Linked DNA regions of Drosophila melanogaster. The protein of the gene in region 4 purifies or fractionates together with the protein of the main gene of each other region. This does not show direct contact. Each region holds a gene or a part of one and is shown on either strand. Other genes may lie near its edges. The genes, in order: Yp2, Chd64, Bacc and Ald1.

Region 1 (4,067 bases), on a different chromosome or scaffold from region 4:
AAACAAAAACACAGCTCTAAATAAGCCTCTAAATCCATTAACCCATCTCATCTGGAGACCCATTCGCATCGATAAAAAGACCATCCATTCCCATTGCACCCCGTGTTGTATATGATTTTTCCAATTTGTGATTAGTTCTGATGAGGTTGTTGAAATCGAGACGATGAATATGAGTGAAGCAAGTTGAAATTCTACGTTAATTATTCTTATTTAAGCTTAGTGATATCTCAACCCAATTTTTTTGCGCCTGCCAATACAGTAGTAAGCAAGAAATATTGTCCGTAGTTCATCGTCCCATATATATAGCGCCATATCTATATATGTGGTTGTGCGTGTGTGTACGCTATATATCATAATGGATAATATGCTTTCTTTATCAAATAAACATATCATGTAATCCAAATGTTTGTTGTGTGCTTCTTTTATGACCTCAGTGGCATTGCATAATTTGGTTTTGGATATTTTTATATAATGAGCATTTAGAACTCTCAAATATTTCGACATAAGCAATTGTTTTTATTGTAAATTGAACTGGGGTTTTTTTCTGATATTGAACTGAACTCTTTAGAATGTTTAAAAATGCAAACGTTTTTTATTGTGAGTTAAAAAAACAAAGCTAACTAATCGTAGTGGATGCAACTGGCAGAGGGTTCTGCTGGATGAGGATGGGCTGGAGTGGTTCGCTCGCATGAGGGGTGTGCGATCTGGTTGTCATCGATGGATCACTGTGCGATGATCTACTGACGGCGGGAACCCTGGTTGGAGGAGGACTGGCGCCAGGGCTGGTGGACCTGGTGGTAGCCGGTCTGTTTCTGGGCGGGAGTGCTCCTGCCGAAGGGGCTCTTCGAGTTCACCTGCAGAATGTAATCGCCCTGCAGATCGAAATCGGTAGCGATGCCCATGTAGCCGCGCTTGCCATAGCCCTTGTTCTGCTTGTACTCCTGGTACGAGCTGGCGGCCACGGAGGGGAAGTTCCTCTCGTTTCCAGGACGCACGGACTCGGCGAAGTAGCGGGTGGCACGCATGGTGGCCTCAACGACATTATCGGCTCCGGGCACTCCGGTCGAGGGTCCGTTGGGGAAGAAGTCCACGTTGGCCAATCGCTGGCTGGTACCCATGCCGTAGGCGGAGGTGTGGATGGCATCAACGAAGTCAGCATCACCACGGGCCAGTCCGGTCAGCCTCTCCTCGGGCTTGCCGTAGATCTTAGTGGGGTCCAGGGCGGTGATGCGGCGCAACTTGTGTCCGGTCTGACGGGTGAACTGGCGTCCAGCCACTCCGGCAACGTGGGCAGCGGGTCCAGAGCCAATCAGATGGATAATCTCTTGGGGCACGTTCACGGTGTTGGTCAGCTCAACCAGACGGTTGCCAATGATCTCGCCCAGACGCTCAATGTTCAGGGTGGCGTACTGCTCAAAGTCCTCGATGGCATTGCCCAGCTGAATCACAATCAGGTCTCCGGTCTTGGTATCATCCTGTTCACCGTTCTGCTTCCTGCGCTGCGTTTGCTGCTCCTCGCTGGAACTCCTCTGGCTCTGCTCCTCGTTGGAGTAGTCGGTGGTCTCATAGGGCTGGAGGTTGTAACGCTGCTGGTAGGCCTGCACCAGCTTCCTGGTAGCCTTCTGCACTTGGGTGTTGGTCTCGGGCAGGCCCTGGATGAAGATGGTGACCTCATCGTCGCCGAACTTCTGCTGGCGCTTAACCTTCTCCACCAAAGTGTTCAGGTTGAACTCGATCTTCTGGCCGCGCTCGCCGACAATGTAGCCCCTGATCTGGCTGGGTTCCGGGGTGTAATCGGGCTTGAAGACATGGTTGAACTGGGACAGATGGTCTGCGGGATAGGATAGTGCGTGTAAATATAACATGATTGGTAGAACTTTTAGAGATCCTTGAACTTACAGAGCTTGTCCAACAGCGTAGCGCCCTCCTCCAGGCTCATCTCCTGCAGCTTCTTAAGGGTAACCTCCTTCAGGTTGGGCAGCTCCTCGACTTCACGTGGATTGACCCAGTTGCTGGGCTGCTCCACATTGTCCAGGGAGTTGGATCGGCGACCGGAACGGTTACCAGATTGGGGATTACCCATGGCGACCGCCAGAAGGCAGGCCATAACGCAAAGGGTGCGCAGAGGATTCATTGTGGCTTCCAAGTTCGACTTTTTCAGACACCGTACCAAATTGTACTGCATACCCACTGCTGCGACTCAATGCATTTTATACCCCTTGGAATCGGTAGTCTATACACACTATAATGCACGCGCCGGAAGCAATTGATTTCAGCAACCGATTTCTGGATCAGCACAAATGCATTGATTCGCAGCGTCAGTGATTTTGCAACACTTCTGATGAGCTCTAAAATTTCGTTCCCCTTTTTTTTTTTTTTTTTTGGTTATTAAGTATCCATCGGGTAACAGGTAATGGGAAACTTCTTTAACCAGCACTTTCATAACATAAACAAAAGGTGGTCTGGCCATTAAGGGGCTTGACAGTGGGGGCACGACTTGAACTCATGCACAGGTCAAGATAAAGCTTTTGTTTGAAAAAAATATTTGGCAATTTTGTGAAATTTATGCAACTATTTAAGTGTTTGCCAAAAGAATTGTCTAAATTGTTCTATAAGCAGATAGCACTTTCAGGGAAATGCAAAATAAATATATTATAAATTATAATATTATAAATATAAATATTTACATCTATCGAAATATACATATATTTTTAATAAGTAGAATGAGTTACATGAAATAGCATCGATAAGATCATATATTATAAAACGAATCCCGGATATTAAAATAGAATCTCCTTGAAAAACGTTCCCCTGAATCAATTCATTTCTAAAGTCCAAAAACAAATATAATCTTACTATCTTGCCTTGGAAACTACAAACATTCCATACTTTTCGTATCAATGGCAAACATCTAGGAATCAATGAACTGTATCGGCCTTGAATTGAAAATGCAAAATTATGGACTTTTAATTAAGCAGAAGAAAAGTGCCAAATATAAATCTACTTATAAACAAAAAAAATCAATAAAATGTTGTATATAATAACCAACTAATGCCCATGTTAGATCTATATTTTATGCATTTATTTGATCAAATCCGGTGCACAACTACAATGTTGCAATCAGCGGAGCCTACAAAGTGATTACAAATTAAAATAATCAGGCGGCAGCAGGTGCTGCTAAGTCATCAGTGGGGTCAGCTATAGGTAGGCCCCGTGTCTATTTTGTATGTATACAATTTATTCCGCTATCGATAGCATATACACTCATCCGATTCCCAGGCACCCGAAAACCCTTACTCAGCACAAGTGACCGATTAAGGCCTGAGCCAGCGAAAAGCGAGTCAGAAAATGGGAAATCGCTCAGCGCAAATTGTGGTATATAAACCACCATCGTTGGATTTGGAAGGCCAGTTCAACTCACTCAGTGTTGAAGTCGCATCCGCAGGACCAAATCCCAAATCCGAACCATGAACCCCATGAGAGTGCTGAGCCTTCTGGCTTGCTTGGCGGTCGCCGCCTTGGCCAAGCCCAATGGCCGTATGGACAACTCCGTCAACCAGGCATTGAAGCCGTCGCAGTGGCTCTCCGGATCCCAGCTGGAGGCCATTCCCGCCCTCGACGATTTCACCATTGAGCGTCTGGAGAACATGAACCTGGAGCGTGGCGCCGAGCTGCTGCAGCAAGTCTGTGAGTAATCCTAGATGCAGATAAAAAAAAAAAAAAAAAACATCGAATATTCTATGGAATATATATATCCTTTGTAGACCACCTGTCGCAGATCCACCACAACGTTGAGCCCAACTATGTGCCCAGCGGCATCCAGGTCTATGTGCCCAAGCCCAATGGTGACAAGACCGTTGCTCCCCTGAACGAGATGATCCAGCGCCTGAAGCAGAAGCAGAACTTTGGTGAGGATGAGGTGACCATCATTGTGACCGGACTGCCCCAGACCAGCGAGACCGTGAAGAAGGCGACCAGGAAGCTGGTTCAGGCTTACATGCAGCGCTACAATCTGCAGCAGCAGCGCCAGCACGGCAAGAACGGCAACCAGGACTACCAGGATCAGA
Region 2 (4,802 bases), on a different chromosome or scaffold from region 4:
GAAATGGCCAGATCTGGTGATTATTCACTATGCCACCGCCGATTTCGCTTTCTTTTGCGATTCGAATGCGTCATGATCCATGACAATTGCTGACCGATATCTTTTGGGTGGATAAATAAATGGGAAAATGACAAAAATTCCACAACGATAACATAAACAAAATCCGCAAAAATGTAACGAGGTCAATTGCGTACATACATATATGATTTTTGAGTCTGGTTTACGAGCGACCAACTTCGACTTCAGTTGACTGAGTTGTTGTATGGGCCCCCATCGAGTGCCTTTTTCGGAGGGATTTGGACAGGGGGCAGAATTTCATTCCATTTTCATTTGTCGAGGTGTTTTCGGCACTGGCAGTAGTTTCACCGGAAATCCAAAACAGCATTTGATTTACGATAAAGCCGCTGTCGACCACCTCCCGCGACTGTTTATGGCTTATCTAAAACTAGCGGCCAACAAGTGTTAAATTTTTGGGGGAGAGGTTCGGGAATGAATACCTAGCTATACCCATCTAGGAGCACGGAGTTCATGTGGGCCAAGTGTTCCACTTACGTGTCGCCCGCACTGATAGAGATACCCGTACCTATACTGATATATAGATACAGATACAGGGAGGTGCGTGCTGCGGATGTACAAGTGTGTACACAGTGTCTTTCACATATGCACTGCTAATTGAGTGTGGATTCTTGACTCCGAAAAAGGCCAAGTGATTAGTACGTGGCCCATGTGCCGCCAATGCGGTGAGATACAGCTGCGAGCGTGGAGGGAGTTGGAAAAGAAAACAACTACAGTGCGGCTTCTTAGGGGTGAATTTCCAGAAAGGAAATAGTATCATGCTGAATCTAAGATTGCTAAACTAATATATTCAATCGTTTATGTAGTTACAAATTAGTAAACATACTTTGAGTAACTTGAGACCTTTCTGCCTCATTCCTAGAACTTTCCCGACAGCTGGTGCTACGATCCCAGGAAAGGGTTGAAAATAAAGGGGCTACGAATTCCCTGGCCGAAACTTGAGATCCATGCCAATTTGTCGGTGACTGGTCGTAAAAGTCGGAAAAAGCACACACGCAAGCACGGAGTGTAGAGAACCCATGAGACAAACAAAAATATTGCTTTCATACCTTTTTGCCTCACTTTTGTTTTGCTGTTTGCTTACGCCACATACTCAGTTTTAAGTGCTCATGTGGTGGAAAAGGTGCTGCTATCGCCTCTACCTCCTGTCACCCCCAAAAACTCAAAACCCGAACCCGAATCCCCCTCAGAAGATATGAGTGACTCCCAGCGAGCGGCAAAAGTGCTCAAACTAACAACGCCTTCGAGTTGAATGGATCGCGAAGGGATCGAGGAGCACCAGTGGAGGGACAGCTGAAGGAATGACATCATCGCCTTCGGCTCCTGGGGAGCCATTCGATCGCGGCTTGGAGTCGCGCCAGCAGCTGCGCCTCCAGGCACTCGCCTCTATTTCTCTTATTTTTCTATACCCTATGCCAAGGTTCTTCCTATTCCAAGTACCAAAATGTTTTAGCTTAACATGATATGGCATAAATAAACACTACAGAGTTCTCATAATATTTTTCATAACCATAGTGCCTGATATATCACCATAAACCACGTTAAAACATACTTCATACTGTGTTTTAAAACATACTGTGTTTTAAAAATGCGCTAGTACAGATAATACCGATAAACAAGGCCTTTTGCCAAATGGCTGACTCAAGAGAATGAAATCCGGGTGGAAATACTTTTAGATAAGCAAAGCTAAAGCAAAACAAAATATTTCAGTTTGTCAACAACTTGGTAAAGTGCTCCTCAAGGGTATACAAAACTTCGGATATGAAAAATCTCGATTATTTGTTTCGTTTTTTGTTTGGGCAATGCTGTAACTGTAGTTGTCTTGTTGTGGATTTCGTCGGACTGCACTTAATCCCCTGTGCCGGCGACATATACAATTTCACTTGGGGCTGCCCAGGGGCGGTTGGAATTGCGTAACCCCGACTTGACGAGGGCCAAATGGCCGAAGGGTACGGGTAACCCATCCCCAACCCCATCCCACCCACAAAAGCCCGATGCATTTGTATGAGTGCATTTGAGGCAAAGTGCTGCTAATGGACGGAACTAATGTCAATTTACATTGCGGAAGCTACCATGCTGCAATAGTTGGGTTGAGATCATCCAAAGGGTCTTCCTTCTACAGTGGATACTCCACAAGTAGCACCTATGTATTCAGACTTGCTTTTATTGCAGCACAATTAATTAGGATTATATTAGCTCATCTTTATAATGTATACTGTTCGAACTTGGGATATTATTCATATCGAAATTTCCAGAGCTTTACTAACTACTACTAATTGTTTGATTTATGGATAACCAACTGTTTTCTCGATCTTCGATTTGAATCACCCGCACTGACAATGCCTCAAAATCACCTAAATCATCTTCAAGCTTTCGAATTACGCATGCATTACACATGTGTGTACATGCATGTATATATTCCTATATACATATGTATGTACATAAATACTTGTTCGACTTATCAGCGAAATGAGGTCATTCCTTGTTAGACGCTGGCAATTTCAAGACCATTTTTGGCTAATTTTTGGCATTTGGCGCGCGAAGATAAAATCTTGACAACGCAGCGCCAAATAAAGTCAATGCAGCTCTAAACTCACGCACACACCCGTGCAAAAGTTGATTTTTTTTTGGGCAATTTGTTTATTGTGTTGTTTTGTTTGGCGCTCTTCGGTTTTTGGGTGGGGGGTGCGGTTGTTGTTGCTATTTGGTACTTACTTTGCGCTGGGCCTCGGCGGCAAAACCAGACTTCGCTGCACGGTTGGACGCCATAGTTATTTGATGAAGAAACGGGTTTGCAGGGAGCTAAAATGTAGGTTGGTCTTGGGCTGAACTGCACCACTGTCCACTGGAATGTGTTTGCCGCGGAATAAATCGGAGGGAGCGCAAGGGTTAAGGCCAAGTTGGTTGGGCTACGTCCGTTCGCAACGAAAACTTACTACGTTATGAAAGGCGGTCCGAGCTGCGAAACAGAGGAAAGCTCGCCAACAGTTTAGTGTTGTAAAGCACACTCAGTCTTGTACCTAGTAGGTTGGGTACAACATAAAAGCTCCAAGCTGCGCTTATCAGCGGCAGCTGATTTGTTATGATGGCATTGATGATGTCATACCGCTTTGTTAACGGCAGTTGTTTTTCAAATAATAAAACATGGAACTATCGAGCACTGGAAACAATTTTACACTATATAAGTATAAATTTAAAATTTCTGGTTCATTTGCCTTCTAAACCAGTAACTTTTGTTTTCAATAGGTTTTGAAAAGATAATGAATCTGAATCAGTATGATTTCCATGATCCACCTGTTGCTTTACTTTTAATAGAAGTCAACCACTATTAGTGCTACTTTTTGCGGTTGTGTACAAACTATCCGATAAGATTCGCCAGAGTAAAGTTCCATTGAAAACTTCCTATGTTCCCCCTTATCGAGAGGTTCTTGCAGCAGCATTCCATTCAGATGACCATGACATTTTTGGGGGACTTTCTGGAAACCAAGAAGTAGCGAATCGCATTTGGATGATTGCCTTGAGAATTAGTTACAGTTTATTCACATAAATATATATTTTGTTTAATCGTATAAATTATGCAATTGTGGATTTACGATAAGAAGCGAATTTCTTTAGTGTTTCAGTGTGGTTCTAAATAAATAGGGGAATTGCTTGTATAATTTGTTGTTCTATTTGTCGTGTTTGTTTTTTTTTTTTTATGTGTGGGTTGTGATATATTTAATATTAGAAATACATAATTCAGCTTGATCTTCAAAGGTTTGTTATGTTGGTAGCATACACATTTAACTTATGTGGGCTTGTCTTTTGTTTTGATTATATCGCCATTTGGTTTATAACATAGGAAAGCAGTAATTAACTAGAAGTTAGGGCTTATTAGTTGCATACACATATTGCCATTATAATATATTATTCTATTAACGGTTTTCGCATGCGAATAATATGCCTGCTATATCTGTTTTTATAACCGATCTGCATACATCGATCATGCATCCTACTAATTGTTAAGGCCCTTTCGCTCAGATACAAGTGGGTAGTGTGTGATTTTCGTATTATATATAAATCGATTCATTTTTTACAATCTGTTATGCATGCTTCGAGGGGGACGACTCTTTAAAAAATAATCATCATAATTTATTTTTGCACATGGATAAATACAAATTACAAATATAAATGTGTATATGTATATATAAAAAATCATTTACCAAAAAATATATACGTAGACGCAAAAGAGACGCAATAATATACAGAGAACATTCCTATAATAAAGGGTGACATAAGCATAATCAGATTTGGGACTCCTACTACAAATAGTACAACATGGTAGAACTACCAGTTCCACTAGACCTAGGCATGTGTATATCAAGCACTGACATCTGTGATTACAGTGGGTGTATATATCCGCGTGTAATTGTTTTATTGTTTACAGGCTACCTATGTATCTGCTCGACTAGCTGCGAACAGTATCAGCAAATAATTTCAATTGAATTTCCTTATTTCCTCCTCTTTCCTATGTTTTTTTTTTTTCGTTTGTTTCGTTTTGTTTAAATAAATAATACCTCACGATTCGTTGGCTCAACGTATTAAACTTAACTTACAGAACAACTGTGCAAAGTTGGGCAAAAAATAAAGAGGGGGTTCGAATATGCCCTCCTAGCAGTGAGGCGCTGTAAATGTGGATGGGTTAATGGTATGTGGATACCGCGTCTTCGTATTCTTTTATTGCTTGC
Region 3 (7,981 bases), on a different chromosome or scaffold from region 4:
TCAAAAGAACTGAAACTTCCGTTTTTGAAAAGCCTAACAACCCGATTAGAAGAAATCTATTAAGCACCGCATTAAGCTGAAAGAGCGAAAAACTTAATCGCCGTGAATACAAGCTGATGTGTGTGTTTTAGATACACATGCTAGCTGAAGCGTCTGGCTATCGATTGTGTTTGCATTGAGATTTGTTCGCACCTTTATGCTACAGCAAATTAATGACGCAACAACGTGTAAGTGCACTGGGAGAAATTCCTGAGGCAGGTCAGTAACGACAACGGTCGGGGAAAAATCCCTTGCGTTAGTTTCGTGTTCGAAAGGGCCATAAAATTTCCGAATCGACAGATGTTTGGGTTCCGGGAAGCAGGACCATCCATCCATTTCTGCCTGCTTGAGATCCTACCTACCCGGTGGTTGCCTGCATTTGAAACCGTTGTCTAACCTTGAAGTAACTACGGTCGTACCAACCAAGCCGATAACTCGAGAAATTGGCACAGGTTGTCCTCAGGAATCTAGATACCATTGTTCAACACCGAGAGGTGGTCTCACAAGCCCGATGAGCACGACTATTCGTATCGCGAGAGACCCACCAATCTTGGGCCGACGAGCGTCAAGCCACTCGAACGGATACTGAGAGTTCGGCGGACGGAAAGTGAGACAGTGACAGCCAGAGAAGAACGGTAGGCGGCCCATGGAAGCACAGCGAAATGGAGACGCAAATCGGCTTATCAGGCAGCGATGTTCAGGCAAAAAGTCATCGCTGCTCCTCAAATATGTGATAACTGAGTGGACGACGGGCCACGATTACAGGTGTTTACGTTCACCATGCCGCCTCGGTTGGGATGCCGCGGAACATGTTCGCCGGTTTTAATTAGCGATCCGCCTGTCGACAGTCGTCCGCTCGCTCTGTCGTCGACCGTATTATTCAGATTACCAGATATATAGCCTAGGTATTCGTATTTGCCATTGCTTTCGCACGAAAATAGCTGAAAGCGTGAGAGGCTGTCCAATCGAAACTCGACTGTTGGATACCCGGCAAACGATAGTTATTACCCTTTCGTCGATAGGCTACTGGAAATAGCACCAAGAACCTTATGTCTTCCGGTCGAATTCCTCTAGTATTACTTTATGGGTTGTTATTCCGCTCGTTAATGTGCACATTTTGAATGAACTTGAAGATCAACCTCGCAGTGATTGTCCCACTGATAACACAGATTTATAGAGAAGAGCCAGTACAACTCGAGCACGTTGACTACCAGGTGATATGGGCGATATGTTATAGCCTACTCGGCAGTTCCAGTTTCCCATATATTGGGCGATTCCTGAACCCACTGGGTTCGTGCGGCGAACGAAGCCATCACCATCAAATGGTCGAACCACAAGTGCGGGATCAACAGAAAGATTGGCACATGAAAAAAGAGTCAAGGGTGGACCCAATTCGACGAGTGATAGGCATTGGCATTTAAGTCGAAGTCTTTGGTGGGGCCATTAGGACTTAAGGATGTTTAATATTTCTGGAAATTGCCGATTTCGAAAACTAACCCTTAAATGTTTTCGAATCTTATGGGGTTGCAAATTGCTGTTTTCTTGCTATTTCTCCAGTTCTCTAATTCTAGTTTTAAGACGCATAATCCCGGAATAGAGCATTTCCCCGATTGCGTGCATCTAAATAGTTAGAATCTCAAAAATAGCTGCCCGCTTTCCTGGTCCGCGAAAATCACCTGCTTCCCCACACGTTACCAATCAATTGACCCCAATCCGCGACGACATTGCGTCCCACGCTGGTCCACTCTATAAATACGAATACCGTGCTGAATACAACACACAGCACACACATCTGCATCTGCGGCAACAATGCTGCAACACTTCTTCCCATCGGCAACATCCACATCCACTGTTCTGCTCTGTTCTGTTCTGTTCCACCGACGAACGGTCAGAACGCCACAGAGTGACTGCACCACACACACCACACACCACCATCGCCGCTACCAACCCCCAGACCCCGCCCCCAGGCCCACAAGCGCACCACTGGCGCGCGCAATTTTCAAATTTACCGCCAAACGCGCCCACAACCGTACTCACGGAACCCAAGCAGATTTTGTATGGAATTAATCAGGAAACCCACTCAACTTGTCATTTGCGGATCTAGTTTTGATCGCAGCGCCTCGGGAAAAAGCCCAAAATTAAGCGGATACTACCAGCTATAGCCTCGATCAGTCTCTGAACCGATCCGAACAAAGGTATTCAAGTTATAGGCAAAAATGTCTGCAACCGATTTGGCGCAAGAAGAAGCAAGCGGCAATTTCTAGCCATCGAACGGACGGCAAGCTCAGTCTTGTACGAACCGTCGACGGGAGCACATATCGGTGGTTAGCAAACCAAAGGAAAACGGATATTCCATACATCAGTGGGGCCTACGAGTAAATCCTTTTGCCTGCCGTAGCGCCGCCTGATATATGGCACCTCCTAAAGCCTTACTATATAGATACTATATTATCAGAAAATCACCGCAAAATAATATACCAAAAATCCAACGATCGCTCTGCTCTGGGCTGTTGTTGTTGTCTTATCGACTGCGGCTGTACAAATGCCGCGGCGATTTTTTGAGTGTATTGTATGGGCCAATGGCGTGGGAGAGAGAGAGCGAGTGAGCGTCGTAACGATTTCGGGGAGAGCGAAAAAGAGAGCAGCGAGAGCGTTTAAAGAAAGTTACTCTCTCCTCGAGAGGCAGTGCTTAAATAGACGGCCCGCAGCTGAATCGCATTCAGTGTGTTTGTGTGCTTCGTTCGGTGCGGTTCTCTCTGTCTCTCTCTCGCCTTCCCCGAGTATTTTGCGCTGGTTTTTTGTCAACAACAAGACAATCCACAAAACCAACCCGAATTGTTCTCTATATAACGCAGAAACTAAATAGTTCCGGAAAACCTCAAAGAAACCAATTCAAATATGTCGGCTGCTACGGAACAACAGAACAACGGCGATGTGGCCGTGGAGAAGGTGGCGGCAGATGATGTGTCTGCTGTCAAGGACGATCTCAAGGCGAAGGCGGCCGCCGAGGATAAGGCCGCTGCTGCCGATGCCGCCGGCGACGCGGCCGACAACGGTACGTCAAAGGACGGCGAGGATGCCGCCGATGCCGCCGCCGCTGCCCCCGCAAAGGAATCCGTGAAAGGCACCAAGAGGCCAGCAGAAGTGAGTACTGATCTATGTGACTAGGTAGTTGTTTACGCGGTAAAACCAAAAGGAGGCCCCTCTAATGATTCACTCCAAGCCAATATGCCAGTAGCATAGCATTGTTCGAGGAAAAATTCTAGAAATAGATATACACACGTTTTTCGGAACAGCGCACTCTCCCAATGGCTTACATATGCCCCCAAAAGAGAGAGCGTATAGCTGGCTCGGTTGTGCGTTTGTGTTGTTTACGATTAACCAAGATGATTGCGGGTCCGGCAATCAAAGATTATTGTTGTTAGGTTCAAATCGAGGTTAGGAGGGCCGCCGTGCTTATATAGGCGGGGAGTACAGTTAGCCAGGGCCTTTTCTTTGGTGGGGTGGGTAATGTGTTTTTAATAAACCCATAGGTCATTAGCATTGACGTGTCCGCTGAACAGCGTTACCCAGCAATAGATACATTGTGGCATTACGTCTATAACTCATACGCTTGGCCTTATTTATCAGTCGCTGTGGCTACGGGAATTGCAAATGCAAACGCAAACGCAATTCAGCGCGATGCCAATGCACTCTCTCAATGAAAACACACATTGCCGGCCGGTAAATTACTCATGTCATGTTTGGCCACTTTATTTTTGGTTAGTATCGCCAAGAGCACGCGGTATTCGAACAAGTTTTGGGGGCCTGAAGCAGTCGCATTCCATAATCGAGTAGCACATTTCTTGATAAAAATAAAATAGTTCGGCCAGTAAGGCAGATAAATTGGCAAATCAAGCGCTTTTCTCAGACTCAAACTCGAAATAAAAATGTACAGTTTAACGGGAGCGTTCTCTCGCTCTCTCTCTCTCTCCCCGGAGAAAGATAGATACAAATAGAGAGCGCTGCTAACTCTCTCCCTCGTAATTTGTATACACACCGTTTTGTCTGTTTGCGTATGTGCTTACATTTATCTTTCACTTTTTTTTCTGCTCTGCCTTATGCGTATTTATTTTAGTACATAAAACAAGACGGCTAAACAGGGTGTCGCAAAAGTTAGTTGGGTTTCTTCGGGATTCAATTGAATAATGATCATTATCCCATGATCATGAATTAGTTGAGATACGTTTGGCACGGATAATTCTTAGTGGTACAGTAACGAATTGTATAGATTTCAAGAATAGTTTTGAAAATTATTCGTTGGTTTCCATATCTTTCGATTCCAAACAACAGATTAGCTTTTGTCCCTATAAATGTATCTTCACGCTTAGAAAACACAAACTAAAACCTCTAACTAAATCAAGATACATTGATTACCCAGTTATAACACCAGTAATAGTAGGCTTAGTTCTTGCCAATACAGATACACCCTGTTCGTCTTAATCCTCTATTGGCCTTTTCTCGAGTTCTGGGTCTCGTGACTTATGCTGTAAGCGAAGTGAAAAAGGGGGGCGATGGGTGGCCATTAATTTTGCACATTTTTCCACAGTCCGATTGTTTTTCGCTTCTTCCGCTTTGTAACAGTCTGGTAAATAGGGCCCTTGTGTTGCGGCTTCTCTTCGACTTGGGAACGTGACCGCCTATATACTGCCATAAACCATATACCATTATGTGTATCTTGTTGTTGGTTGGTCAGCGGCAAAAGTTAAACCCACGCATGTTGTTGTTTTGCGCCTTTTTCGCTGCCGACGTCGCTGCAGCAGCTGTCGTTCGGATGGCTGTGAGTGAGAGCGAGAGATTCATTCATGCAGTTCAGGTACAGTTTACAGTGCTGCGGATTCAGATGCTCTCTCTCTGGCGCTCTCGCCCGCTCTCTATCTTACAGGGCACGCTTCGTTTCGTATCTCACGGATGCGGATACATATGTCGCTGCCGGCGTCGCTGCTTATTGTTTTTTTTTCCTTCCCCCTTATGTAGTAAATATGTCGCCTTGTACATACGGAGCACAGATGTAATGTAGCGCGGTTGCACTTGTAATCCACTCTCTCACGTACTCTCTCTCCCGCTGTCTCTTTTTGCCGCAGCGAATTACATTGGCGCGCGCATTTTTCAAATGTTTTTTTACGGCGAAAATAACGATTTTCGTCGCTGCTTGTTTTGTGTGCTGAAAATATACATTTTATGACTATGTACACACGCACAGGAAGTTGAGAGGGGTATTGGATGCCCTTGATCAAGGAGATGTGTGGGTTTGAGTTGGGCGCGTAGGACCATTTCGCTCCGTAATTCTCCCTAATATCCTTTAGTTTGTTTCTCAGATTAATATCAAAAATGCATAATTAATAGTGACGGGCCCCTTATTTCTGTTCAATAAACTTGCTTGTAATACAGTAAATCATCAGCGGAACAAAAACCAAAGGAACTCTACTAACTTCTCTTTTTTCGCTTCCAGGCCAAATCCGCAGAATCAAAGAAGGCCAAGAAGGCCGCGGCCGCCGATGGAGATTCCGATGAGGAAGAGGCTCTGGAGGAAATCATCGAGGGCGACAGTGAAATCGAGAGCGACGAGTACGACATCCCCTACGATGGTGAGGAGGATGACATTGAATGTGATGGTGAGTTCACGGAAGCACTTCCCTTTTCCACATCAATCTAATCCCCGGATTTTCCCTTTCCCTTACCCGCGCAGATGATGATGATGATAATGATGACGGTTCCGGCTCGGACGATCAGGCGTAATAATAATGTAGTCAAAAATACAAACAAAAACAAACAAAAATTTAAATTAATAATAAATAAAAGTTACAAGCAAAAACAAAACAAAAAAAATATAATAATAAACCAACAAGCAGAAAATAAACCACAACAAGGAGAAAATGAGGAGGAGGAGGAGAAAAAAACCACAAAAAAATCGCAAAAGTATATAATTTTTATGTTTAAGAAATAATTTTTTATTTCTTACCTTATTTTAATTGTATTTTATGTGTACTTTTTTTATAAAAAACTACAAAACAAACAAAAATTGTAATTGAAGGCATTTTCGTATAAACGCAACCTATACGGAATCCAACAAAAAGTAAACATCCCCACTATATACAAGAACAAAACAAAACCAAAATCTTTCTTTCCTTTATCTCATAAGTCCTAATTTAAACGCCCAGTTGATGCGTAAACCAAGATATACAAAGATTTCAAATGTAGCGTAAACGAAGCCCGCGAATTAAACACAGATACACTACACTCACACACACACACGATATTCAAATTCATTATTAAATTAGACGTTACATTTGTGAATGAATGATCGATCGAAAGAAGCAAAAATACAAAAGTGAACATTTGAAAATGAACATGATTATGAACATGAAAAAGAAACAGCAAATGCAATTAAATACAAAACAAATAAAACATAAAAATTGTATTTAAATAAATCGCAAAAATCATTGAAACCCCATACTCGACAAGCATTCAATGACACTCAAGTTTTAGCTATGGTTTCAAAAATTTCGCGCCCATTGTGGCCACAGTCACCCGAATTTCCCAAACCCAAGGCACTGGGACTTAGTTGGTCTTCGCTTTTGGGGCAAATACAAAAAAAAAAAACAAAAAAAAATGAAAGGAAAACATCGGGAAGTTTGAGTTCTAACCTTCTGTTTCGTTTCAGCATTTAACTATAAACTATGACTAATCTTAAGTACTTATGTCAGTATTAAAGCGAGGGCTTTATTATTCTGTTGATAAGTTGTGCGAGCGAGTCGTTGATAAGCCTAATTCATTTGTAAATTGTAAAAACCAACTCGAGAATCGAAAAACGAGCAAGAAAATAAACTTTTAATGTTACATGTATCTAATTAGTAAGGGCATCCAAACTATTTATACACACACCCCGTACGACGAGTTCTCAATATAAACATATAACGACTGATATTTCAAAACGAATCGTGCCCAGCTGGTCAATCACGGCACTCGACACCGAAACCACCCAACCACCACCATCCTCGAATCTAAACGATTTGTCCCGGAAAGACAGACCAGCCCAACATACACACACAATCCACCCACTGACCCAGATCCAAACTCCAAGAGGCTTAAAGCTGGTAATGCCAACCAGCAACTGAATAATTGAGTGCAATTAAACCAATATGCCCAAGATAAATCATCCGATTTGATAACTGATAAACAATAGCGATATCACAGACAATGTTAAAGAACTATGCATTTTTGTAAATACCAATTACTCATGTATCTGCTCCGTGCGAGAATAACATCTAGTAGCGCGAAAGGGCAAAAAGAGAAAAGAACCACGAATCGAAAACGAGAATAAGAAACAATTTTGAACGATGAAATAAATTATTGTAATTACGTAAAAGCGAAAACCGTACGTACATACCACCCATTTGGCATCTGTTCCGATGCCAATAAAAGTTTGTTTCAATTGCAGTTGGCCATTTTGGGTGGGGCAATCACCTCGCTTCGGTGTTCCCAGGGGTAGTAGTTCTTAGCCAGGAGCATGTACGTATGTAGGTACATAATTCATAGATTGGCCGCCCCTACATTACTCCGATCCATCCCTTCCATATCCCAGTTTTCGTTCGGGGGTTGACGAGCTGGTTCCCACAATCCTCCCTATGAAAGAAATCATATACTAAGGGATGATGGAAAAATTCAATCGGAAATTTCCTTTGATTAAGTACCTTTTTCGGATTGAAAATCGATTAGCCTTAGCAGATGCCTATTAAAAAAACGAATGATGAAATTCCGGGCTCTTCGTTGGGCAAATGAAGTTGAGCTACTTTTATATTCAAATTCAAATATAAGCGCAAAAATTTCTAAAAGTTTAAGAGCTTTTAAGTTTCATAAGCCATTTCTTTCATTTATTTCAACTTTTATTAAAATTATTCTC
Region 4 (7,729 bases):
GTGAACTCTTATAAGAAGAAAAATGGAATTTAAGAAAAAACTATTTCAAATGTCCTTTAACAAAAAGACTAGATAAATAGAAATATAGTATAACCTAACTATAGTTGATCAAAAACTTTTCTAGCTATTTTGCCCTAATCTTTAATCTTGCCATTTATTGTAAAGCAAAAAAAAGGGTTCCATCAATATTAGTTTTAGAAATGAACATTTTTCTGTAGTTTTTTGAAAGATACTTTATAATCTGATCTACATCAACTTTTAATGAGTATACCAAATCGAACCAAATCGTTTCTTACCAAAACTGGGAAAACAATTTATCATTCTTCTGAACCACAAATTCACTCCTCTTTTTCGTATCTCCTCTTTAATTTAATATGAGTTAAAACACAGCTGGTGCTTGAATTTCAGACTCTTATGCACTCCACTTTCGGTTCACATAACTAGAATAATCAGAAATTATTTCGCTTTGGCTGCACCACAGTACGTAGCGTATACGCCGCGGTGTACGCGGGTGTGCGAAGGAGACGCGCAGCGCAAGTGGAACGCAACACGTGTTGGGCGACAGGTGCCGAGCGTTTGGCACACAACTCGACCGACCGACGCACGAATTCGAACTGAAAACTGAACCAGAATCCCCAAACGAAAATGGGAAGCGAGTGAGGCAGGCACGAGAACCGAAACAGGACGAAGGACGAAGCCACGAGGCACAAAGAGAGCGAGGACAATGAAGAGCACTGTGGCTAAGGTTCCTTCATTAGGTAAGCATATTATTTCATATATATCTAGCAACTGTATCACTTTAACTAAAGAAACCTAAGCATAGATAGTCTATGAAATATCTAAAATCCTTTAAATGTTATAACCCGTTCCACAGTCATTCTTTTCATTCAGAAAACTGTGCCAAAGTCATATTAGGACATTTTAAAGAGCGAAACGATTTTCTCTTTCGCTCGAACAGATTGTATGGCAGAATAGGGGGATATTTTCTCAAAGTTTGCGCTCTCAATCAGCTGTTTCCAGTGCCAGGGGGTTGAGTCCTTTAACATTGCAGGAGGTCAGGCATGGCGTGAAAGTCGCTTATCCTAGCTGCTGCTTCTGGCACCCCTCGTTTTTGTTGCGCTGCCGCTGGAGCGCCTGATGCTGATGGTCACGAAAAATTCATTGACCGCCCCAAGTAAAGCAGGTCGCTCGTAATTAAGGTTAAAATACACCAAATTAATTATTCTACCCTCTTTTCAATGCATAAGTAGAATAGGAAATGTTGTTGACAGGTTAAAAGATACAAATACTTGCAAAGATAACACTTCATTTTTAATGCTTTTTTATAGTTTTGGGCAAGAAAGCTTGGCAAGACATATAGTTCACTTGATGAGGATGATTTGGGATGACTATATCCAGCAAGACGCGACATTAAGTTTGTGGCACTTTATTGTTTTTAACATTTCAATACTATTTCAATATATATCGTATAGTGTTTGAGATCTTAAGATAAATTATTTATTATGTTAATACGCTTTGAGCACATTTCATTTAAATTTTTACCGCCCAAACGAAAGCTAAAGCTTCTCAAAGCTGTCTAATAAGTTTTACAGCTTATCTGTTAGGTTCCATCCCCCACTAAAAGCTCCCAGAATGAGCTTTATTTTGGATACCTTTCGTTTGGGGATCTGGGAATTTAAAGCGCTTGGCTCAGTCGGTTGCCCAACACCGTCGGCGACGACCTCCAAACAACCTTTTGGGGTCTCGCTCGGCATGTCTCGCTTATTTCGCTTTGGAATTTCACGTTGACGCCGCAGTCAGCGGTAGCAGAGGCATCGGCAGCGGCAGTAGCAGCGACACGGGCCGAAAATAAAAGCGTTAACCGCTCTCCTCCAGTGCAGCAGCAGCAGCGGACCCAGCCAGTAGCCAGCAGCTAATCACCACATCCCAGATTCAGTTTCCAGTTCGGTGAGTGGGCGTCATACGCAGTGAACAGAACCCCTGAGCCCCTTAAAAAAAATTCAGATATTTTTCCCCCCATTGGCGGCAGTGCAGTTGAAAAGTCGCGTAATCGTTCCCATTTCTCTGGGTGTTTCGTAATCCAAATCTACAGAGCAGCAGCGAATCTGTAGGCGTGTTAGTGTTAGTGAGTGCGTATTCGAATATAGTTTAATTATTCTCTAATCTTACCATTTCCGCGTGCTCGCCACTTTTATGACAAGTTCTAGAACCTCGAGGCTCTCGAGTGTTGTTGACCTATGCACCGCGGTTGAAGGAGTGGGGGGGCTACGCGAACTGCAGGCGATAAGAAGCCTTATCGGGTGACTTTTGGCTCACTTTCGTGAGTAGTAGTTTTCTCTACCGGCTCAACCGGCTCTCTTACTTTTCATCCGCTCTTTCATTCGAGTTCATTTGCTTGTTGGCAGGCTTTCAACTGCAATTTGTAGTCGCCGCTGCGGTTTTTCTTTATAAATAGTTGGCGCAAATGTTAAATGTATGTACTATACATCGCGATATACATATGTATACTTTCCCATCGCTCTCTCGCTTAGACTTCAATTAGCCAACGTCATCGTAAATTCATCAGATTGTTGACGTCTTCTCATGATAGACGCAATATGCTTTTGTCTATTGCATTTTATACCTACCATTTAATTGAGATTTCAGTGAATGAAGGAGAGCAAACATTTTACCGATAGTTTGTAGAGAGTACATGAGAAAAGAGGGGCAGAAGTTTAAGGGTTGTTTTGAAACCTACAGAAAACAAGTTTTGGTACTCCAAAGGACTTCCTTTCAAGATCAACCTGATTAGGATTTTTAAGAAGAGTTTTGAACATTTAAAACAACCAATTTATGTTCCTTTGATCGTTTATATCAAGCTTTGGGAAATTTTATAATGAATATAATGGAATTATAGGTATACATTCTCATTGTAAAGTATAAGCTAATCGATGAAATAAGACTAGATAAGGTACATTGGCTTATCTAGTAAACAGTTACCACAACAAAGTTTTTGGGGTCACATAATAAGGGCATAGATAGAAGTATGGGAGTGCTCGAAGTTTCCTATTTTCAGACAAGTATACAATTATTACCACCCATGTTTACGGCTAATCAGTTGACGTCAGTTCGTAGTAGTAGTAGTAGTATTATCTCAACTGTTGGATGTTCTTTTGACCCACTGTCTGCGTTCAAGGAGGCCGGACCTAAAATCTCGTTATGATAATGCAAAACCTTTGGAACTAAAACGCAACTGGGGGCTCGTTTTTTCGTCGTTTTCGATTCAAAATTTTCACTGATAGCAAGCTCACGAATACATATAGACGGACATGTGGCGGTTTATTTTTATAAACGGTCTCTTGATAGGAACGTAAATTTATTTTGATTGTTTTTTGTTGTCATGCGTTGGCTGCTCTTCGTTCCTCTTTCTTTTTTGTCATCGTATATATTTCGCCTAGTTTTCGAAACATTTCAGTCTTCGATTGATTGCCGGCAAGTGTAGGTGGGTGTTGTCTGCTGAGTGAATCCGCAACATCTATAGATAATTCTATAGATAAGGGTGTACATACATATCTAGTGTCGTTCTGTGAAGTGTGTTTAGATAACTGTTTAGAAATTAATAGATGAAAAAATGATTTGTATTCTAGAGATATATTAATATATTCTTAAACTGTGCAGTATTTTTAATATATGCATATATCAAGCTTTTATAATATCTATCTGTTCTTAGGAACCACAAGCTATTCACGCGTGTACAAAGTGTTAAATATATGGCGTGGGAAATGTGGGGTCGATGTGGTAAACAATATTTCGCGATAAGTTGCGGAGGTCTAATCTCTTAACCTGACATTTATGCCATTCCCAGTCCTTGGCTCACTGTCAATGTCAAACAAGTATAAAATGGGTTTTTAGTCATCGCAGATGACTTCGTATCTGTATCTACATATTGCTGGACACTAGCTATCTCTATCGCACTTCACACGCGCCACACGACTTTCGGTTTTCAACAATTTCTATTCGCATTTCGTAAGCAACAAATTTCGCTGGCAACATTTGTTGCTAAGGCTTGTTGCTTGACCTTGTTCAATGTCAAGCGAAAATTCATGCGCCCTGCGTTGGCGTCGCTGCCTGCAGGAACAGCGCAGCAGCAGCGGCAATAAAAGTGAAAGTTACCACGTCACGCATTATGCGGGTGTGAAGAAGACAGCTGCATTCGGTTAGAGTGAGACACAAGATTCCATGACTTTGATTACATCAGAGGGAATTATTGCCGAGGTTTCCGTGACTTTGCTCAGTTACAAAAACATCATCGTCGAGGTTGGTTCGGATTTTTCTTTGTGATCTAAGCTTAAAACAATTGTTCGGTTTTTGCAAATAGTTTTTAGCAAATTACAGACACTATAAAATAAGACACTATATAATATTTCATTCCAAAAAGTGCAGTGATACTTTTCCAACTTTGTATAGTACAATCCAAGAGGATTTTTCTAAAATGTGAATTTTCATTGATGTTTGTGAGAACCTCTAAAAAAGCTCTATTAAAAGGCAACATTTTATATGTGAATGTTGAGAGTGTAGGACAAACCTAGAAAAAAAAAAATGTGAGAGAGAGAGAGCGAAGAGCTGCAGATATAGAGAAAAGCACGTTTTCCGTGCATGCGCCTTTAATCTCATTCAATCACCCGCTCTTTGCCATCGAATCAGCTGTGAAATACACTACCATGCAAAGCATTTATTATCTTCAATGGAAAAATATTTTTAAATTGGAAAAAACACCAGTGACATTGACCTGACACTGAAAACAAAATTATATAATACCGCATCATTAAACAACAGCATATGACTCAATGGCTCTAATCGGTTAACTCAGAGTTCCACTTTAAATAACTTGACCTTTACAAATATTCTTTTTATTTTATGGAAATAATAATTAGGTCAGTTCAGTAAAATAATCCAACACTTGATTGATAGCTATCTCTGTAGCCGTTGTTATCTTTTTCAGTAGGAACATATGTAACTTTGAGTTACTTGATTTTGGTTGTCAGACTGTGCGGATCGTATACGAAATTTTAGTCCAAATTTTTAGTTTTATTTTTTACCTCGAAATATTTCAAAATTCTGTGCTTACGCAATGGTTTCCAATCATCCGCGCCGCTGCGGAATTCGATAGCTAGCTTATTAAAACACAATGTCCGCTACTCTTTTTCATCCAACAAAATAACACCACACCAAATCAAACGTAAATGGATCTTCGTGCTGCAGAACTACACTCGAATCTCAAAAATGACGACCTACTTCAACTACCCCAGCAAGGAGCTGCAGGATGAGCTGCGCGAAATCGCCCAGAAAATCGTTGCCCCCGGCAAGGGAATCCTCGCCGCCGATGAGTCCGGCCCAACCATGGGCAAGCGTCTGCAGGACATCGGCGTGGAGAACACCGAGGACAACCGCCGTGCCTACCGTCAGCTGTTGTTCAGCACTGACCCCAAGCTGGCCGAGAACATCTCTGGAGTGATCCTGTTCCACGAGACCCTCTACCAGAAGGCCGATGATGGCACCCCCTTCGCCGAGATCCTGAAGAAGAAGGGAATCATTCTGGGCATCAAGGTCGACAAGGGTGTTGTCCCACTGTTCGGCTCTGAGGATGAGGTCACCACCCAGGGTCTGGATGACCTGGCCGCCCGTTGCGCCCAGTACAAGAAGGACGGTTGCGACTTCGCCAAGTGGCGTTGCGTCCTGAAGATCGGCAAGAACACCCCATCCTACCAGTCGATCCTGGAGAACGCCAATGTCCTGGCCCGCTACGCCTCCATCTGCCAGTCGCAGCGCATCGTCCCAATTGTGGAGCCCGAGGTTCTGCCCGATGGCGATCACGATCTGGACCGCGCCCAGAAGGTCACCGAGACCGTCCTGGCCGCCGTCTACAAGGCCCTGAGCGACCACCACGTCTACCTGGAGGGTACTCTGCTGAAGCCCAACATGGTCACCGCCGGTCAGTCGGCCAAGAAGAACACCCCCGAGGAGATCGCCCTGGCCACCGTGCAGGCTCTGCGCCGCACCGTTCCCGCCGCCGTTACTGGTGAGTCATCAAATCCAACTGTAATCTCTGGATTGGAATGCATTCACCTTGTTTTTGCAATGAATCCTATCTAATCGATTGTTTGTCTACAGGCGTGACCTTCCTGTCTGGAGGTCAGTCCGAGGAGGAGGCCACCGTCAACCTGAGTGCCATCAACAACGTTCCCTTGATCCGCCCATGGGCCCTCACCTTCTCGTACGGTCGTGCCCTGCAGGCCTCCGTCCTGCGTGCCTGGGCTGGCAAGAAGGAGAACATTGCTGCCGGCCAGAACGAGCTGCTTAAGCGCGCCAAGGTGAGTCCTTGGATAGTTGTATCTATGCACGATTGATTGCAGTTAGCAATTTAAGTGGTGAATGTATTAAGAGTGTCAGGTATATGCTTCGGAAGTATTCCTTGGGCTAAGAAATATTATACATGTATAATATAACATACAGCATATTCCCAGCCATTGATTCCATTTCCAATCCCAAATGACCACAATGTTCTTCTAATCCTCTAATCTTATCCCTTTCATTTCCCTACCATTATTTGTAACCTTTTTTTGCTTTTGTACGTGAGACATTAATTTCATCATCAATAACCACACATTAATCATGCCTAGGCTAACGGAGAGGCGGCTTGTGGTAACTATACAGCTGGATCGGTTAAGGGGTTCGCTGGAAAAGATACTTTGCATGTGGATGACCACAGGTATTGATCAAAGGATTGAAGAATTGCTGCCTTAAGATGGCGATGAACAAGCTTTCATGGGGTAACTTAAGAATCATAGCCGCCTTTCACCAAATCCGACTTATCGCAAACGCCTTTAACATACTGTCCTCGTGCCACTCATGCTTCGCTTGCTCTAAACCTAATCCACAAAAGCCCAAAATCTGATTAATCCCAACCAAAATCCCGCTCTCCTCCCGCTTCCACAGGCCAATTCCCAGGCCTGTCAGGGTATTTACGTGCCCGGCTCAATTCCGTCGTTTGCCGGCAATGCCAACCTCTTTGTCGCCCAGCACAAATACTAAGTCCTAAATGCCACGCACTAATCCCGAGTCACAATCGAGCGAAGCTATATCCCAAGCCGAATCCAGATAATCCGCAAGAGTTACTGATCGAGGCCCAGCTGGAGTGAGACGGGCAACATTTATATTCCTCCAACAATGGAACTGCAAATATATTCCTTTTATACATTTTTACATTTTACCGAATAAACTGACTAGACCTTAAAGAAAATATTTTTGGCGAACAGAAATAAATTATATATTTCTAATAATACCTTGCTTATGATTTTGTTTACTTTAGTTAGCTTTAAACAAAAATTCGATTTTATTTTACCTTTTAATTTAATTTAAATACATTTTAATTAAAAATGTCTTGTCTAACTTTATTCATGAAAGCCCTTTGCAAACTTCCTACTGTTAATTAGAATAATAATTCGGAATATCTGTACCTGACAGTTAAGTTGAAAACAACGTAAAATTCGTTCGGAGAGCTGTTACATATATTTAATCGAATCATAATTTTCCTCCAAAGAACTTGCAAGATTAAATTTTCCAAAACTTTCCGCAGTACGCAGCATGTATTCGTGCGCTTGGATGCGTGGAAAGTTTTTAGAAAATTGCCGCAGGTGGAAAAAGTGGCGGAAGTTCTTCGAGCGCAGCAAAAATCAGTGTGAAAACTTTT

Evidence for each region.
Region 1: the proteins of Ald1 (region 4) and Yp2 purify together in Drosophila melanogaster (affinity purification with mass spectrometry, with the first as the bait; one large-scale study listed by BioGRID). This does not show direct contact.
Region 2: the proteins of Ald1 (region 4) and Chd64 purify together in Drosophila melanogaster (affinity purification with mass spectrometry, with the first as the bait; one large-scale study listed by BioGRID). This does not show direct contact.
Region 3: the proteins of Ald1 (region 4) and Bacc purify together in Drosophila melanogaster (affinity purification with mass spectrometry, with the first as the bait; one large-scale study listed by BioGRID). This does not show direct contact.

Annotation. Positions count from the first base shown.
Region 1 is NC_004354.4:10,050,450-10,054,516, forward strand, and holds Yp2 (yolk protein 2), read right to left. Parts: upstream 2,186-4,067; 5' UTR 2,135-2,185; coding exon 1,900-2,134; intron 1,832-1,899; coding exon 738-1,831; 3' UTR 502-737; downstream 1-501. Other genes in the region: Yp1 (yolk protein 1), read left to right, coding at 3,468-3,687, 3,765-4,067. UniProt on the Drosophila melanogaster protein: Vitellogenin is the major yolk protein of eggs where it is used as a food source during embryogenesis. Vitellogenins and their receptor yl/yolkless are required for maintenance of microtubule plus-end orientation towards the posterior pole of oocytes.
Region 2 is NT_037436.4:4,119,366-4,124,167, forward strand, and holds the start of Chd64 (Chd64), read right to left. Parts: upstream 3,024-4,802; 5' UTR 2,845-3,023; coding exon 2,791-2,844; intron 1-2,790.
Region 3 is NT_033779.5:2,750,478-2,758,458, forward strand, and holds Bacc (bacchus), read left to right. Parts: upstream 1-1,967; 5' UTR 1,968-2,363; intron 2,364-2,517; exon of another isoform or gene 2,518-2,591; intron 2,592-2,755; exon of another isoform or gene 2,756-2,894; 5' UTR 2,895-2,937; coding exon 2,938-3,183; intron 3,184-5,530; coding exon 5,531-5,693; intron 5,694-5,767; coding exon 5,768-5,817; 3' UTR 5,818-7,443; downstream 7,444-7,981. UniProt on the Drosophila melanogaster protein: Negatively regulates tyramine beta-hydroxylase tbh and thus the conversion of tyramine (TA) to octopamine (OA).
Region 4 is NT_033777.3:26,255,554-26,263,282, reverse strand, and holds Ald1 (aldolase 1), read left to right. Parts: upstream 1-1,691; 5' UTR 1,692-1,947; exon of another isoform or gene 1,948-2,129; intron 2,130-2,169; exon of another isoform or gene 2,170-2,381; intron 2,382-3,447; exon of another isoform or gene 3,448-3,481; intron 3,482-4,069; exon of another isoform or gene 4,070-4,296; intron 4,297-5,003; exon of another isoform or gene 5,004-5,241; 5' UTR 5,242-5,262; coding exon 5,263-6,058; intron 6,059-6,150; coding exon 6,151-6,350; intron 6,351-6,659; coding exon of another isoform or gene 6,660-6,755; exon of another isoform or gene 6,756-6,809; intron 6,810-6,975; coding exon 6,976-7,071; 3' UTR 7,072-7,317; downstream 7,318-7,729. UniProt on the Drosophila melanogaster protein: Enzyme of the glycolytic pathway. Glycolysis is essential in glial cells but not in neurons; neurons rely on the citric acid cycle for their energy needs, and on lactate and alanine secreted into the hemolymph by glial cells to fuel it.